Oreochromis niloticus: one gene and its partner. The protein of the gene in region 1 interacts with the protein of each later gene in a pairwise test. Links are inferred from orthologs where the notes say so. Each region holds a gene or a part of one and is shown on either strand. Other genes may lie near its edges.

Region 1 (8,724 bases):
TCTACAGGTATCTATGGAGGTTTCTTGCTTGGGGTGAGGTCGGTGAACGGCCTGGCATTTTACGACTGGGAGAACACAGAGTTAATCCGCCGCATTGAGATCCAGCCCAAGCATGTAAGACTGGCTTTCTTCTACTGAGTTAGATATTTGTTCTCAGTCCTGGTCCCTGTTCAACTGTCTGGAAACTCTGTGCATTTTTAATTGAAGTCACCACAAATTACTTTTGTGCTTCTCTAACCTTATTTTTAGCGCTGGTCTATTTAAATAAGTTAGTGAGTGACTGCCAGAAGCTGTTGTCCAGTAATTCTAGTAGCGTTACCTTTTTCTTTCTTTTTTCTCATATTTTTCAGATCTTCTGGTCAGACTCTGGTGAACTGGTCTGCATTGCCACAGAGGAGTCCTTCTTCATCCTGCGCTACCTGGCAGATAAAGTCGCTGCCTCCCAAGAGAACAACGAGGGAGTGACAGAGGATGGTATTGAAGATGCCTTTGAGGTAGGTGTGTGGATGTGAGTGCATTCACATCCTTTGTTGGAAGTCAGTGTTCAGAATAGCTTAGCATAATGTAATACTTGATCTAAGAAATATATTTGACCTTTTATGACATGTTCAGGTCCAGGGAGAGATCCAGGAGATTGTCAAGACTGGGCTCTGGGTTGGAGACTGCTTCATCTACACCAGCTCTGTAAACAGACTCAACTATTACGTTGGAGGAGAGATTGTCACAATTGCACACTTGGACAGGTAAGAATACAGACTATTTAGGCTCGAGTTGAATAGAATTGCCCTCCCAACTTTATTAGAAACACAGTCCAGCAATGCGGAAACTCCGCAGATTATTACAGTAAATATGTAATCTACAAAAAGAATAAGCAGCCTCTAAAATTAGCCTTGGTGCTTTTTCACACCTACTTCCTTTTCTGCAGGACCATGTACCTACTGGGTTACATACCTAAAGATGACCGTCTGTATCTGGGAGACAAGGAGCTCAATATCGTCAGCTACTCCCTGCTGGTCTCCGTCCTGGAGTACCAGACTGCTGTAATGAGGCGGGACTTTGGAATGGCTGACAAGGTGCTACCCACTATCCCTAAAGAGCAGAGGACCAGGGTGGCACACTTCCTGGAGAAACAGGTTAGCAAAGGCGATTCATTCATCTTCAAATACAACTGGACTTTAAACATAAGCTGTAGAAATCTGGTCTATTAGAGGTTATTTTAATGGTTGTCTTTTGAGTTGTAAGTATGCTTAAGGCTTCAATTTCTTTGGCTCATCAGGGTTTCAAGCAGCAGGCCCTGGCAGTGTCCACAGACCCTGAGCACAGGTTTGAGTTAGCCTTGCAGCTGGGAGAGTTGAAGATTGCTTACCAGCTGGCTGTAGAAGCAGAAGTAAGGACACAGAAGCAAACGCAAACTCTGTATCAAAGGCTTGACCATAAATGTAATTTGATGTCACGATGGATCAGGTTTTCTGTCCAGTACATTTCTGATATTTTTTACTCTGTTCTCTACAGTCAGAGCAGAAGTGGAAGCAGCTAGCAGAGCTGGCTATTAGTAAGTGCCAGTTTGGCCTGGCCCAAGAGTGCCTGCACCATGCCCAGGATTATGGTGGCCTGCTCCTCCTCGCTACAGCCTCCGGTAATGCTGTCATGGTGGGCAAGCTGGCTGAAGGGGCAGAAAGGGACGGCAAAAACAATGTAGCCTTCATGACCTACTTCCTTCAGGGAAAGTAAGTGTGAGATGTATGAGCCTGCAGGGGCGAATTGTGTAATAGAATCGTGTTGTTCACACTGAAAATGAGGCTACCAGGGTCATTCATGCCTTGCTGCTGTGCTTTCTTCACAGACTGGATCAGTGTTTGGAGCTTCTGATCAGAACAAACAGACTACCTGAAGCTGCCTTCCTGGCTCGCACTTACCTACCCAGCCAGGTGTCCCGTGTGGTCAAATTATGGAGGGAGAATCTGGCCAAGGTCAACCAGAAGGTTAGTTACGTCCTTGAGATTTTTGTTTTAGCTGTTAAACTCAATCAGCATCAGTCTAGATATCTGTTCTTGGTCATGACCTGCATCTTCATTGTAGGCGGCTGAATCCCTAGCAGACCCTACAGAGTATGAGAATCTGTTCCCCGGGCTGAAAGAAGCCTTTGCAGCTGAACACTACCTGAGAGAAACCTGCTTGGGCACCACCAGGCCTGCTAAAGACTATCCACTTGTTACAGTAAGCTGAATGACTTTGGTCAAAATACTTAAATTATGCAGTGAGGAGACGGTCATTAAAGTACTCACTGAAAGTCCATGATGACTTAAGTAAAAAAGATGCTTAGTTTTGAGGTAAATTATCTGTGTTATCGCTAATATGGCAGCACTTCTGAATTTGTATCTGACATTTTCAGCCCAATGAAGACAGAAACATTCTTGAAGAGGCCCAAGGATACGAGCCCAAAGGAACCTTCCTACCTCCTGTCTCTAAGGTTTGCATACAGTATCAATATCTCAGTACCTTTTGTATTAACCTGATTACTGTTCATTGTTCTGTAGCTTCTGTCGGGTGTAAGAATGAATAAAAGCTAGAGAAATTAGTGCCAAGTACAATTTAAAATTCCCTTATTTAACTCACTTTTTTTGGCAGACACAAGATGAAGAGGAGGCAGCAGCTCCCGTTGCTGCGGTGACACCTTTACAGCCTGAGCCTGCTCCTCCTGCAGCAGTGGAGAAAGAGAAAGAGACTGAAATCTATGATTTCTCACAGAAAGATAAGGTAAAGACTTCTGCTCTTTATTTTTGATTTATTATGCTGTCAGTCCTTCTTCTAGTGTGGAAGTGATGACTTAGGTTTTATTCATACAAAACAACTTTTAGCACATACTGTTCTTAGTTGATGAAGTAAAAGCAAATAAATGGAACATTGTTTAAAAAAGGATTTTCCTTTTTGTTTGTGTCTCTCCGTCCTAGACTCTGGATGAGCTCGAGGTGGACCTGGACAACATGGAGCTGGATGACATTGACACCACAGATGTTAACCTTGATGATGACTTTCTCGACGATTGATTGAGACCTGCCAACAGTCTGCTCCCAAGCACTCTATAGAGCATATTTAAAAGAAAAAGAGACCAAATCCCTTTTCCCCACTTTTTTTTTCTTTTGTATTTGTCCGTAAAAATGTTATATTGTCATATCCGCCTACTGCAGTGTTTGAGTGGCAGATCATGATATCAGTGATGTTTTATCCTCAGAAGAAAGGTAGACAGACTCCCTCATTTTGTAAACCATTTATTGTTTGAGAATTTCAGAAAAACTGTCCACTGGGCTGTATTTTATTACTCTTTGCTTTTTGCTTTGCTTTTTTTTTCTGTTGTGGCAAGTGAACATTCATTAAGTCCAATAAACTGGTTTCTGTACATATTCACATTTGACTAAAGAGCGTCTTAATCTTGATAGTTATCGCAAAAATTAACAAATGCAGCTTTTAATAATGAAGCAATAATAAGTTCCTCAGCAGCATCGAGTGTGTCAGGGTCCAGCTGGGGTCTTTGCTCCTCATCTACAGCCACTTACTGCAGCACTGAGCAATTCCTGAGATGGTGTGGTGTACGGCTTGGCCACACATCTCTAACTTTTTAAGGAGTTTGGGTGGTTATAGCACAATCAGAATCAGTATACTTTATTAATCCCTAAGGAAATTATGTGGGTTACAGTTGCTCCAGTACAGTAACAGAAACATAACCACTGTTAATCTCCACTGTGCAAACTATTGCTCTCCAACCTCACTGTTCCACCTCCGCTTTCAACTTAGGATGTCATAGCCTCTTCCTCTCGCTGGCCTGAGCCATGCCATCCTCCCATTCTACTGCCAGCTGTATAAATTAGACAGACACACATGCATCACTGCATAATAAACAGCATAATAATGCATAATTATTTGAAAAATTCCAGTGATGCAAGTCTTGTAATTGTCAAAAACAAACAGGAAAACCTACAAACATCTTTTGGCAGCAGCAGCATTTGTGTAATTAACATTAACAGTGTCTCTGTTGCACCATGTAGGTGTGGCAGTAAGTCAGACATGACTAACATGCAGCCTTTACTAAGATTCAAGTTGTTACTCTCTGTATGAGAAAGGCCCATTGTGCATCTTCTAACTGTTTTGAACAGGTTAAACTACTTTATGCTCGTAAACATGTTAAAAAAACAAAACAAAAACACTTTTACTGCAGTGCACTTAAGTGCATTCTTTTAGGTTCTTTTCTGAGTATTGATACAATAACTAGCATCACAGAAAGCAGTTAACACTTACTCCACATGCACAAAGTGCAATATTAGTATGAAAAGATATCATTTATTCTCCATAAAGAGTACTTTTATCTTGTACTACTTTAACTGTAGCTTCAGACTTTTTAAACTGTTGTGTTGCTTTAACTGCATTGACAGTGTGTTTGTGATTGTCATGCTAAAAGAGTCATCTGTTGCCAATTAGACACTTTCCACATTGTGCTTTTCTGCGTTCATAATTCAGTTTTTAAAAGGCAGTGTTTGATACTTGATATCTTGCTTTGTTTTTTATGACATTTTGATAAATAGCAAAAGTAAAGATGGAATATTTTGATGGTTACACTTATAAAGATGTAATTTACAGCATTTGTTCTATTAAAATGCTATTATCTGTAAAGAAAGGACTATAAAAGTATGTTATCCTTCAGCCAGATGTATGCTATCTAAAAGTGTAGATGTGTTTGTGTGTAAAATCTCACTGCACACCTCAGAGTAATAAGACACATTTTTATCTGAAATAGCAGGTAAACACAGATGTTAATAACCACATTAATTACGGCTTTGTGCTTAAATACAGCATAACCGGCATTAATGTCGGTAACACCTGTCTGCTATTTCATGTGCTATAAAACATGTCTAAAGTGTGAACAATGGCCATATAATAAACTGAAGAATGTTAACCATGATCCACAGTCATAAATTAAGTTCTTTGACCTGCTGATGTGGGAAAAACAAATAATCTTGATAACAAAATTGAAATATTACTGCCTTTCAATCACTCTGATTGGACTTCTTCTCAGTCTGAGTGAGCTATGATAGCAATTACAAGGGGTCAGCAAAATTCATACACAAATAAAAATGTCGTTTGATTTCAAAACCTCTCCCTCCATGCCAATTCTCTGCTGTATGATGGGAGGGCCTACATTCCCCCAACCCCCTCCTTCCAGATTTAAAATGCAAAGGGGAATTTTCCATTTGTCTTTTGTGTCACAGCTGAAATTTTTAATTTCAGAGTGATTAAGATCCAAATTCTAAGAGAGTAAAATGATGACTGACAATGATGGTCTTATTCTTTGCAATCCATCTAAAGGTTTCAGCTGTAAATTGGAAACTTTTGAGTATAAACATATTGAAGCTCTGTGTAAGTATAACATCATATAATTGTGGGTGGTCTGTGGGGCTTCAAAACTGCTTAAAGGCCGTTTAATGGCCTTGCCAGAGCAGTATGGGAGCAGTTAAAGTGCCCCAGCTGTCCTCGAAAAGCTGTCACTCTCCTCCTCACCTGCGGAGGGCGCTCCTCCGAGACAGGCTTGGACGATTTTATGCAGTTTCGTGTGCAACAAAGTAAAGCCGAGCAGCTAGCGAGAAGGGAGTACGGACCCTTCTGAGATTGTTTATTTTTGCGCCGTTTTGAAACTGTTTTTCTCACTTATTTGTAAGGTTTTTGTGATATATTGTAGGTTTTACACAAACGGAAACTAAAGCAATTCAGTCCTGGGGCGGTGTTTGGACGCTTTGTGGAACAGCAAGGTGTTTTTTTAATAGAGAGTCAGACGTAACGTTAGCAAGCTGCCGTAAAGAAAAAAGAAAGGGGAAAAAAAAGGCAGAACCGGGCACTACGGAACGGGTCGGTCAGCCAGAGAGAGTCGGGTGGACCACGGCACAGCCGCAGCCGCCAGCGCCACGGGGAGTCGGGGCCCGAGAGGGAGCCTGCCAGGCCCTTGGCTTGATGCACCCAGTCTGCCTTGCCTTATCCGCAGTCCGAGATGGGGGAGACCAAAATTATCTACCACCTCGACGACCAGGAGACACCATATCTGGTGAAACTGTCGGTGCCGGCGGACAAAGTCACGCTGGCAGACTTCAAAAATGTCCTCAAGAAACCAAATTACAAATTCTTCTTCAAATCTATGGACGATGACTTCGGGTAACTGTTAAAGGGTTCATTGTGTTTAACGTGGAATCAGCATAGCAACCCGAGTCTGCTTAACCTCAGTCCAGTCAGATTAACTGTAACATATTTGTTACCTCGTGGAGCTGGCTTGTCATCACTTTTAAGGTTGCCTGTCTTTCAGTCATCAGCTAGCCGTTTGCTTTGCTGTTCCTTTGTTAGCTGCTAGCGTCCAGGTCGCATCGTTAGCAGGTCTGTTCAGCGTCCCGACCCCGTTTGTTTACATTGCTCGTGCTTAGCTTATGCTGTACTGTCTTACCAAGTTTGGTCATTTCCAGTGTCATGAACACTAAAAGAAAGCCTTTAATCGCATTTCAACTTATTGAAGACTAAATGAAACAAGGAGCAATTCAGAAAAGTGTTACTAACTAGTTATTGACGTTACAGCTGTCAGTTGCTGCCTAATGTATGAAACGCTTATGCTAGCAGGCTAATGAATGGGTCTAACCGGACACTTGGTGAGTGAGTGAGACCAGAAGGCCCCTGCTGTTGTTGTCTATTAGCCTAAGGAATGCAAAGTTGGACACAGGAATGCCCTGTTCATCACTCTGGCAGCTTTATGAGCGTGTCCCTTTGTGTTAAAACATGGCCAGAAAAGTAGACGTTTTATGATCCTCCACACTTTACCTTCTTCAGAGTTAAATAAAAGGGAGAAATGTACTTTTTTTTTTTTTTTTTTAAACACTCGAGCCAGGTTGCCAAAGTTTTTCTGGCTAAACTCAAACAAGGGTGGGGCAACAACCTAGATAGGAAGGACGAGTTTTGAAAGGATCCGCAGCTATTTGTGTTGTTTCAAGAGTGGAGGTGCATGCACTAAATTAGCTGCTGAATCCTTAAAGTCTAGACTGATGGTGTTTTAGTAACTTGTTAGACTGGTTTGGAGCCTGAGATCTTTACCAGGAAAGCCTCACTGACCATCAGTGTTCTCCCTGTCAAAGACCCGGCTAATCTTGACATCTCCAATACTCTGAGGCACTTGTTAAATACATGCCTTATTTGTCCTCTTCATTGTGTAACAAGGTGTTGTTAAGATCTGCCTGCCATCTGATCCTTGCAAGCAGGACTGAATGAATGGGAGGGTTTGCAGGAAATTCACATGGTTACATTTACACATGCCTTTTGTTAATGTATTTGCAGCAGTCTGTAATGCATTAAGGCTTACTTCTATATATGAAATGGACAAGTGAGCCATCTTTGGACTGGTTTTCTGTGCGTGTGCCAGTAGTGTCAAACATTTGGTTATTTTGAACATTGTCATTGATTCTTAATGTGTAAAACTGTCCCCAGTTGTCAGCGTCCGTCCTGGTTGGTGGAATATATTGTCCAGCTCCACTTCCTCTAAATGCACCCTCATGTTTTATTGCCCAGGGAGTGCTTTTGTGTTGGTAATGTTTGACTGAAACAAAGCCTTGTTCTCTTTACAGGGTGGTAAAGGAAGAAATATCTGATGACAATGCTAAGCTGCCCTGCTTCAATGGACGCGTGGTGTCATGGGTAGGTCCAAAATACACGCTGCAATAAAATGTATTTATTTATTTATTTTTTTACTGTTTGCTTGTGTGCGATAACTTGTGTGGTTAAGTGGCGTACATGAATGTGTAACAATGATTACCATCTGTTGGGCACTTACCCCAGTCATGCTCAAGCTTAGGGGGAGGCACTGCACATCTGTGTAATAATATCATTATCACATAACGATCCTCAGAGCAGTATACATACACTGCTTTTCCTAAACCTTTTCTTTTTCACTGTAAAATATCAATTTTTTTTAGCGTGTCCTCACACAGGCTAGTTGCCGCATATAGCACATACATGTACTTGCATGCAATTTCTTATTTAAAGCCTCTAAGCAATAATACGCCTGTCTCCACAACATTCGAGACATCTGGCGCTCGTGCACGGCCCTCCTTCCTCTCTTCTCGACATTGAAATTGGATTAAGAGCAAGTGAAATCACAGGATAGCCGGAAAATACTCCATAACAAAGGGCCTCACTGCAGGTCATCTAACAAGAAGATTGAATCTCACAGGGAGGAGAGAATAAAGCAGAGAGAAAGACTGCTCTGTGTCGTGATGTGAAAGGCTAAAGCACTCGCTTAATTTCTACAGTGTGGTTTTAATTATTTGAGCATCATCAACATGGCGTTATTGCTCCATTCTGGAGCGTATATTCCACCGTGCTCGTCCTAATGCGTCTCTTTGTTGTGGTCGTTTTCATTAGACTGCGCAGAGGTTTAGTTTAATGTGTTTAAAAGCCAGTTCCCCTTTGTGTGCGTTTGCTCCAAAGTGTTTGTTATCTCTTGAGGGCTGTTGATATGTTCCACGTACAGTCAAATGTTATTTCTGTTACAGTATGTCCATTTGTTTGTCTCCGCTGTTCATCTGTTGTTTCAGTGATCTGATTGATTATTCTCTGGGGTCCAGAGGCCTGGCTCGCTGCACATCATTTCATCACAACAAGCCAGCACCCTGTATCTCCTGTGCTGTGGCTCCCTTTAGTGCACAC
Region 2 (8,231 bases), on another chromosome or scaffold:
AAGAAATATTTTTTTATGTTTCTAATTCAATTCAATTTTAAGTATACAGCACCAAATCACAACAACAGCTTTATATTGTAAGGTAGACCCTACAATAATACATACAGAGAAAAACCCAACAATCATATGACCCCCTATGAGCAAGCACTTTGGCGACAGTGGGAAGGAAAACCCGCATTTTAACAGGAAGAAACCTTTGGCAGAACCAGGCTCAGGGAGGGGCGGCCATCTGCTGCGACCGGTTGGGGGGAGAGAAGGAAGACAGGATGAAAGACATGCTGTGATGTTAATCTGGTAACATGCGGTAGTACAGCCCTTACTAAAAAAAAGTAACCTTGATCGGCATGCAAACAATATCAGTGATAAGTTCCAGTCTGACTTTAAACCATGCCGTAGCACTGAAACAGCGCTGCTGAGAGTCCTTAATGACCTTCTTTTATTTGCCAACTCAGGGTGCTCTATGGTCTTAGTTCTATTGGACTTGACTTCTGCCTTCAATATGGTGGAGCATAATATCCTCTTAATGAGGCTTGAACATACAGTAGGCATAAGGGGTAGTGCCCTTAACTGGTTTAGATCGTATCTTTCGGATAGGTCCTACTCCGTCACTATGGGTGGCTGCTCTTCCTCTGTTGCTTCCCTCTACTGTGGTGTGCCCCAGGGATCTGTGTTGGGCCCGTTGTGGTTTTCATTGTATATGCTGCCCCTAGACTCTATCTTCGAGATGTATAATATCTCCTTTCACTTTTATGCTGACGATATTCAAATTTACTTTCAGCTGACTGATGACATTTCGTCGTCAGTACACTGTCTGCTAGAGTGCTTGAGAGAGGTCAAAGATTGGCTCTCTGATAACTCTCTTATATTAAACGAGAAGAAAACGGAATCATGTTGTTTGATAACCATATTTCCCGGGGCCAATTTGCCGACACTCTTGGACCCCTTGCCGCCTTTCTTTCTGGCACTGTTATCAACTTAGGTGTCTTCGACACTCTTCAACAGCCTCTTTAAGTTTGACAAACAAGTATCCTCTGTAGTTAAATCTAGTTTTTACCAACTGCGTCAAATCTTATCCATGCTTTTGTGACCTCTAGATTAGACTACTATAATTCCCTTTACTTTGGTCTCCACTCTGCCCTTCTTCATAGATTTCAGCTTGTCCAGAATGCTGCGGCACACCTTTTGACTGGAACCAGAAGGTTTGCCTCTATTACCCCAGTCCTTGCTGACCTGCATTGGCTTCCTATCAAATACCACATTGAGTTTAAAATTGTGTTGCTTACCTTTAAAATCATGAACAACACTGCACCGTGCTACCTTGTTGAACTCCTTAGTCCGTATACCCCTAGGAGAGCCCTAAGATCATCAGGACAATTACTCCTAGTGGAGCCTAGGTCCCGGCTAAAGACCAGAGGTGACCGTGCTTTTGCCCTGGCAGCCCCTAACCCAGGGATCTGCAACCTTTTACACCCAAAGAGCCATTTGGACCCGGTTTCCACGCAAAAGAAAACACTGGGAGCCGCAAATACTTTTTGACATCTAAAATGAAGATAACACTGTATAGATTGTTTTTTATCTTTATGCTTTGTGTGAACAACTTAAGTGTGTTGCTTATGAAATCCATGAAGTGCTACAGAGAAAATTACATTATATTTATGTAATCAACACATTTTGAACTCTTAAAGAAATATAATAAAAGGAAAGACACCAACCTGAACTAAAATGATCCATGTAGCAAACAAAAACTGTTGTCAGCCGCCACCCTTATATCCCCTTTGGGCTGTTGGAGCCTTGACCTGACTCTTAAAAAATAATTGGAAAAAAGCACTATGCTGCTGAAAAATGAAAAATAGATATTTGCAAAATTCTGCCTAAATATGTATTTTACCTAGTTAATGCGTGCGGCGGGGCGTGGTTTGCAGCGCCGCTGCAGGGGAGGCGGACGCACCTGAGCGACACCCGCAATCACGCCTCGCTGCCTTAAAGTCTGCGCTATCTGTGCTGTTGTGTTGTCGGGCTGTGAGCTGAAAAGCTACAGCCGGCTGTATGCATACAGCAACCGTGTGTGAAAAGTGCTCAATAAAGAGATGCTCAAAAGCATGCTCATGGAAACATCGTCGGGTCTGCCGTGATATGTTTACAATGGGACTTCTGCTCCTGAACCTCTGCGCACAGAGTCCGCAAATCGGGGCTATACAAAGTCAGTTTACGCAGGACTGTAAGCTGTCATCTGTCAGGCGTGAACGGTGTTTGTCTTTAACATAGTTCACGGTGGAGAACAGCTGCTGACATAATGTGGATCCGAAGATCCATAATTGGCCTACCTGGGGTTGAAAGTCTCGATAAATGCACGGCGTTTCGGCGGGTACACCGGCTTCCGCGAGTGTGACTCTTATTTTGAGCGATGAAAAAATAATAGAATATCATTTTATTTTTATATTTCAATATCACAATAATCTTCCAATTTAGAACTACAAGTTAAAAAGAACTAACATAAATAAAATACACTTCAGCTAAATACTTCTAATTTATTTGCCCAAACCAAGCGGAGCCGCACTTTAAGGACTAAAGAGCCGCATGCGGCTCCGGAGCCGCAGGTTGCCGACCCCTGCCCTAACCTCTGGAACAATCTTCCTGCAGCTATTCGCGCCTCTGATTCCATCCATTCATTTAAATCACGGTTAAAAACTTACCTGTTTGAGCGAGCGTTTCTGGTTAGTTAGTGCTCATTCCCTGTATTTTATCCCTATGTTATTTATCTTCTATTTGATATATCACTGTATAAATACCCCCACCTTATATTTACAAATACTCAGTGATTTTATCTTTTAAATTACGCTCAGATGTTTCATTTCCTATTTTATCTGTATTGATTGTTTAACTAGCGTTTCTCACTTGTTAGTTTATTTGTACCCTGTTATGGTCTGATATCTGTTATGTTTTAATCTTGTTTTGAAGCACTTTGGTGTACCTTTGGTTTTAAATGTGCTATATAAATAAACTTGTATTGTATTAATCTATCAGTATATACAAGATGTAATGAACATGATATTTTCAGTGCTAAAATAAAATATTGTTGTTATGCATCCATTTACAAATACTCTGTTTTACAAAAAGCAGGAAAATAGTCTTAAATAAGATGCAAATTCCTGAACAGAAAGATTTGGTTTAGTAGTTGAATGTTATGCTTGATTAATTTCTGACTAAAAAGTATAAAATTGTGAATTATTTAGTTTTTAGTTAAAAAATGCATTTTCAAGAGATTTTTAAAATATTTGTGTTTTTATAGTTTTTAAGAAAGGTGGTCTAATAAATCTGCTAAGCACTCTCTATACAAAGGGGTTTTGACTCCAGCATCCAAGAAAGACATCCAAACATTCATGAAGGGTATGCAACAAATGGCAATGTTATGCCTCTGATGTCAGCACAATTTCATTTTGGAAACATTTTTCATCCACAACTATATTATAGTTAGTTTGCTGAGTGGTACAGTAAGTCCAAAAGTTTGAGCTTCAGTATCTGCTTTATGCACAGTTTATAAAATTCTTGCTAACCAAGCTAAGTAGTAATTTGGCTGATCACACATCACTCCACTCAAATATGACCACTTCTGGTTCCAAACACGGATGGGAATGGTAATTTCACAGAGATCAAAATATTGCATGGCAAAAAGGGAAGACCAAAATATTGCACAGAACAAGGAAAGACTGAGATATTGCACATGGGATGGCAGCAACATAGTCAATCAATAGCAGCGACGGAGTGATTGGATGGGAGAAGTAGCTGTATAAACTGTTGGCTATTTGAGTTTGTATTTTAGAGTATAAACAGTGCATGAGTGTGTATCAGTAAAATAACCATTTGAACACATTATATGGAGCCCTACTTACTCACAAAGAGGTGAACTATCATCATTACAGGTCATTAAGGGATCACAGTTGAACCGATAGGGGATTGTCTGTGGGAGTGAGACCTGGTAGTTACAGGTGGCTCAGCTCAGGGGAGATTCGTGTCAGGGGAGTCTCTGACCTGCAGGGACTAGCCATGTTAGACAACTTGAGAAAAACAAGTCTTGTGGGTTTTTTAAAAGTCTATTCACACTCAACGAATGTGTGGTGGCATAACAGCCAAAGGTGAGGGGGCTTGAAGGTGTCATCAAGCTCTGACATTTTATAGTGTACTGTATGGATGTTTGACTGAAATCAGTGTGTTTTGTTTGACTTGCTTTCCTGGTGTCAATGTGATGCAATAATTCTGCGCTTATAACACATGGGGATAAATGTGATTAATTAAGTCTACAAAACACAGTTATACACACACTTACACATGGACACATGGGGAGCAGCACAAACACCACATGTTTATGCACTAAAAAATATTGGTCCATCTTGCACACACGCACACACAATGTTGGGACAAGCTTGCACACATGAACACACAAACAAAGTGAAGCACACACACGCACGCACACAAGAAAACATGCACACACACTCGAGAGACGGCAGAAGAAGGAGAAGAATCAGCCTAGGACGGAGACAAGTTGCATTTATCTTCTGCATGCCAGCCTGCTGCGTGTGTGCGTGGGAGTATTGGTCCCCTTGGATGAGCACACGCGGCTGAGGATGCAGCTGGGAGCATGAGTTCTGACAGAGAGGAGTATGACATGGTCTGTCAGAGAGCTGTGACCCTAATTGTTGACCTCTGCCTGCACAACAGCACATCGTTGGATCAGGACACCTGTCAGGATTTCCTTTTCCTATTGTCTGGCCACAGCTCTGACCACAAAGAACTGGGTGAGTAATATCATTAGCTTCTGATGTGCACTGGTTGTAAGGCAGCACCTTCTCTGCCTTCTCTGTGCTTTGTATGGCTCCATGCTCATTTGTTTCCAAGAGTAGAGCTAATAGTAAAGGATTTTGTTTGTGAATGCTTTTCTGTCACGCAAAAGTCGAAGAAAGCAGCAATCTGCTTAAACATGTGCTTGTCCTTTTCTATTTATTTCCCACATGTATGCTCAGAGATGGTTACTCGGACAGGGCTTTCACTGAACACTCGTGGCCATTTATATATCCTTAATGAGTTTTTGTGACCTCAGGGCAATGGGGAGCAATAGGTGTACAACAACAAAACAAATTCCCATTGACTCGTCAGTTTGCCCCGGAGGGCAGAGTTTCTTTACTGTAATGGATAAGCCTTAAGGCTGAGTGATGCCCGGTGATGTCCTGAGCACAACAGCTTACAATCAAAATAAAATAAAAACATTTTCAGGCATGTTTTGTATGGTTTATGCCTCTAAATATAAATCTGAACACATGTAGCTGCAGCTTGTGGAAAAGCAGGATAGTCGTGCGTTTAATCTGTACGGCAAAGTTTCGACATCATAAAAAAGGGATTTTTGACTTATTCATGAGGGCTGATTTACACATCTGTTGCAGCCTTGTGCATCTGTTGCTCTTGCACTTGTAGTGGGCTTCACCCTCTTTAAAGGAATAATCCCTCTCTTCAAATATATTTTAAATGCAGCAGCTCTACAACAGGCTCCAGCGTTTGTGTGTATTTTTTCCCTTCTACAAATTCGAGTCATGAGAATTTGCAGTTCAATCTAGCAAATATTGCCTGAGTTTTCTAAAAGCGGGGGAAGCTTGATTTAATTTACTTACACTGCAGATAACACTGTCAAATACACTAGGGTGTTTGAAGGATTTGTTGCCTTATAGACTTAGAAAGGCAGGCTTCCCTGAGGTCTCACTGTGTGAAGATTTTTAGTAAATGGGATTTAAATGTTAAATGTCTGTGTACAACATGAAGAGTGACACGATTTATACACTTTTACAGAATAATTTGCATGAAAAAATGAAGCAAATTCAAACTACAGAAGAACAGATTGTTTAAAATAGGAAGTCTATCAGGACACTATTTCATGCCAATTTCCATTAACTGTTGCATATTATTTATCCATAACCGCAATTTGGATTCCTTTTATAATCCATCTGATTTTACGAGTTTGCTTGCAAGTTCACGTGCACTGCATTGAGTTTTCTGTGTTTGACAGAAAAAAAAAAGAGTCTTTAGATTCGTCAGCAGGTGCAGAGCAAAGAGGAAATGCTATTTGCTGCTGCTTTTTTGGAAGATGGGCCCCTGCTCAAAGAGTGCATGTCACACCAATCCTGACCAAATCCACTGTCACCTCACATCATCCTCAGCAGAGAAATTGAACGTACATCACAGTGCCACTGGCATCTACTACCGAGCTGTGGGGACATTACATGCCATTGCATGTTATGTGGCCATTGATGCAAATTCCTTCTGCCATGAGGAAGCTAAAGACAAGCTGCTTCTGATAGTGTTGGAGGATGTGTAGGTTGGGGCTGAAGAAAATGTCTTGTTTCACGTATTTTTGTGCAACACTGATTACAGCAGAAAGAGAGATTTGAGTTTTTGTTCATCAACAGGACTTACAATGCAGGATCGTAATAAAACTGACATTTAAATAAAAGATTTTTGACAGATTTTATAGGTTTAGCCCGAAGTGACAACTTATTCGTCACAAATCACAGTAAATAGAAATTACACATTTCACTATCATGCTAATTGCCAAAACGCAATCTGTGGTCACACATTTGTTCATTCAGTTTAGTTTTTTCAATTTTTGTTATATAGCACCATAATCCATACAAAGCACACACTGCAAGGCACTTTATATTGTAAGCAAAGACCCTACAATGATATGGAGAAAACCCCATCGGTCCCCCATAAGCATGCAGTTGGCGACAGTGGGAAGGAAAAACTCTTCTTTGATGGGAAGAATCCTGCATTGTGGAAGAGAGCTAGAAATGAATAAAAACTAATTAAACACACAGAGTATAAACACATAGCGAGTGAAAAAAGATGAGTGAAGATGAAATACTCCAGCAGTCTAGAGCTATTGGAACAAAGCTAATGGAGGGTAATAATAATTATTTGATGTTAAAAAAGTTTATGAGAATCATTTTATATATTTTTCCATAGCATTACATTTGAATTTAACAGTTCAATCTTTCAACTAACAGACACATATTTGTGAAATCATGATACATTTGTGAATGTATTTTAACAATCTAAATATGCATAAGTACAGACAAGTACATTTAAAAAACAAGAAAATTATGTTTTATTACATTACAGTGATTTTACGTTAATTTACATTTGAAATGTGAAATCACAGTCTATTTATGTAAATTTAATGATATTCTAGAAGAACAGAACAAAACTGTAAAATACACAGTAAAATACTTTTATATTAGGATTTTTTTTTACAGTGTAGCCTAAGTGCCACAAGTAAGCTACTGTAATGAAATCAAACAGAGAGAGCCTGATTTTTGTTTTGTTTTTGACATATTTGTTCCAAATTGTAAGAAATTAGGAATGTTTTTTGTTTTTTTGGTTTGTTTTTTCTGTGAATTGCTCTTCTTATTTTAACTCAATTATTCCATTTCTTAATTGATCAGTAAATTAAATACACACACACACAAACACACACAAGAACATAAGGCTGATTTTAAAAGTGCTACGACTTGTCGTAGTAGGGTTTCCAGTGTTTGAGTCTTCACAGACAGTACTGAGAAATGCTACTGTTTGAAAAAAGTGTGCGTTTTTTTTAAGTGTATGGCATGTTTACAATTTTGCTGCATCACCTCTTTTTAGAAACCTCTGTTCTTCATAACTGTGGAGATCAGCTGGTTTATTTTTAAAAGCAAAATTTCGCTTCCCATTCATTTTCTTCTATATTGGATTTCTTCTTTCTTCATGTTTTTAACAGTTATTGTGAATGTTAAGGTTCTCAGTCATGCAGGTCATGGTGGTCTAAAGAGCTTGGAAAGAAAAGCGTCTGGACTTCTTTAAGTTGCTTGAAGACGTTTCACCTCTCATCCGAGAAGCTTCTTGAGGTCAAATGGTGGAGCGTGCCAGATTTAAGCCCTGTGGGATTTAAGCCCTGTGGGAGTGTCCCCCCAAGAGGGACAGTGTACCCCCTAATGATCCTCTACCTAATCACATGAGCCAAGGTGTGAAAACGGGTGTAGGTCACAATCAGTGATGGTGACAGTAATAGTTATTGTGAATAATATACCATTTCCAAAAAGGACCACACACCACATCCGTTTTTCACCTCAGCTTAGCCCATCTTAACTGACCTACGGACAAGGGACAGCAGCTGGTTTTGGATCTTTATGTTTTTTATGTCATTGCATGGT

What was found.
Region 2: the proteins of segment polarity protein dishevelled homolog DVL-3 (region 1) and syt6a interact in binary tests that used the Homo sapiens proteins (3 or more experiments, as listed by UniProt). The two-hybrid records come from large-scale screens. The link is inferred for Oreochromis niloticus from reciprocal best matches to the Homo sapiens genes DVL3 and SYT6.

Annotation. Positions count from the first base shown.
Region 1 is NC_031982.2:12,052,220-12,060,943, forward strand, and holds the start of segment polarity protein dishevelled homolog DVL-3, read left to right. Parts: upstream 1-5,563; 5' UTR 5,564-6,034; coding exon 6,035-6,195; intron 6,196-7,643; coding exon 7,644-7,713; intron 7,714-8,724. Other genes in the region: copb2 (coatomer subunit beta'), read left to right, coding at 8-114, 351-494, 613-743, 926-1,133, 1,277-1,387, 1,513-1,727, 1,844-1,982, 2,080-2,217 and 3 more. UniProt on the Homo sapiens protein: Involved in the signal transduction pathway mediated by multiple Wnt genes.
Region 2 is NC_031984.2:8,068,861-8,077,091, forward strand, and holds the start of syt6a (synaptotagmin-6), read left to right. Parts: upstream 1-4,614; 5' UTR 4,615-4,636; coding exon 4,637-4,793; intron 4,794-8,231.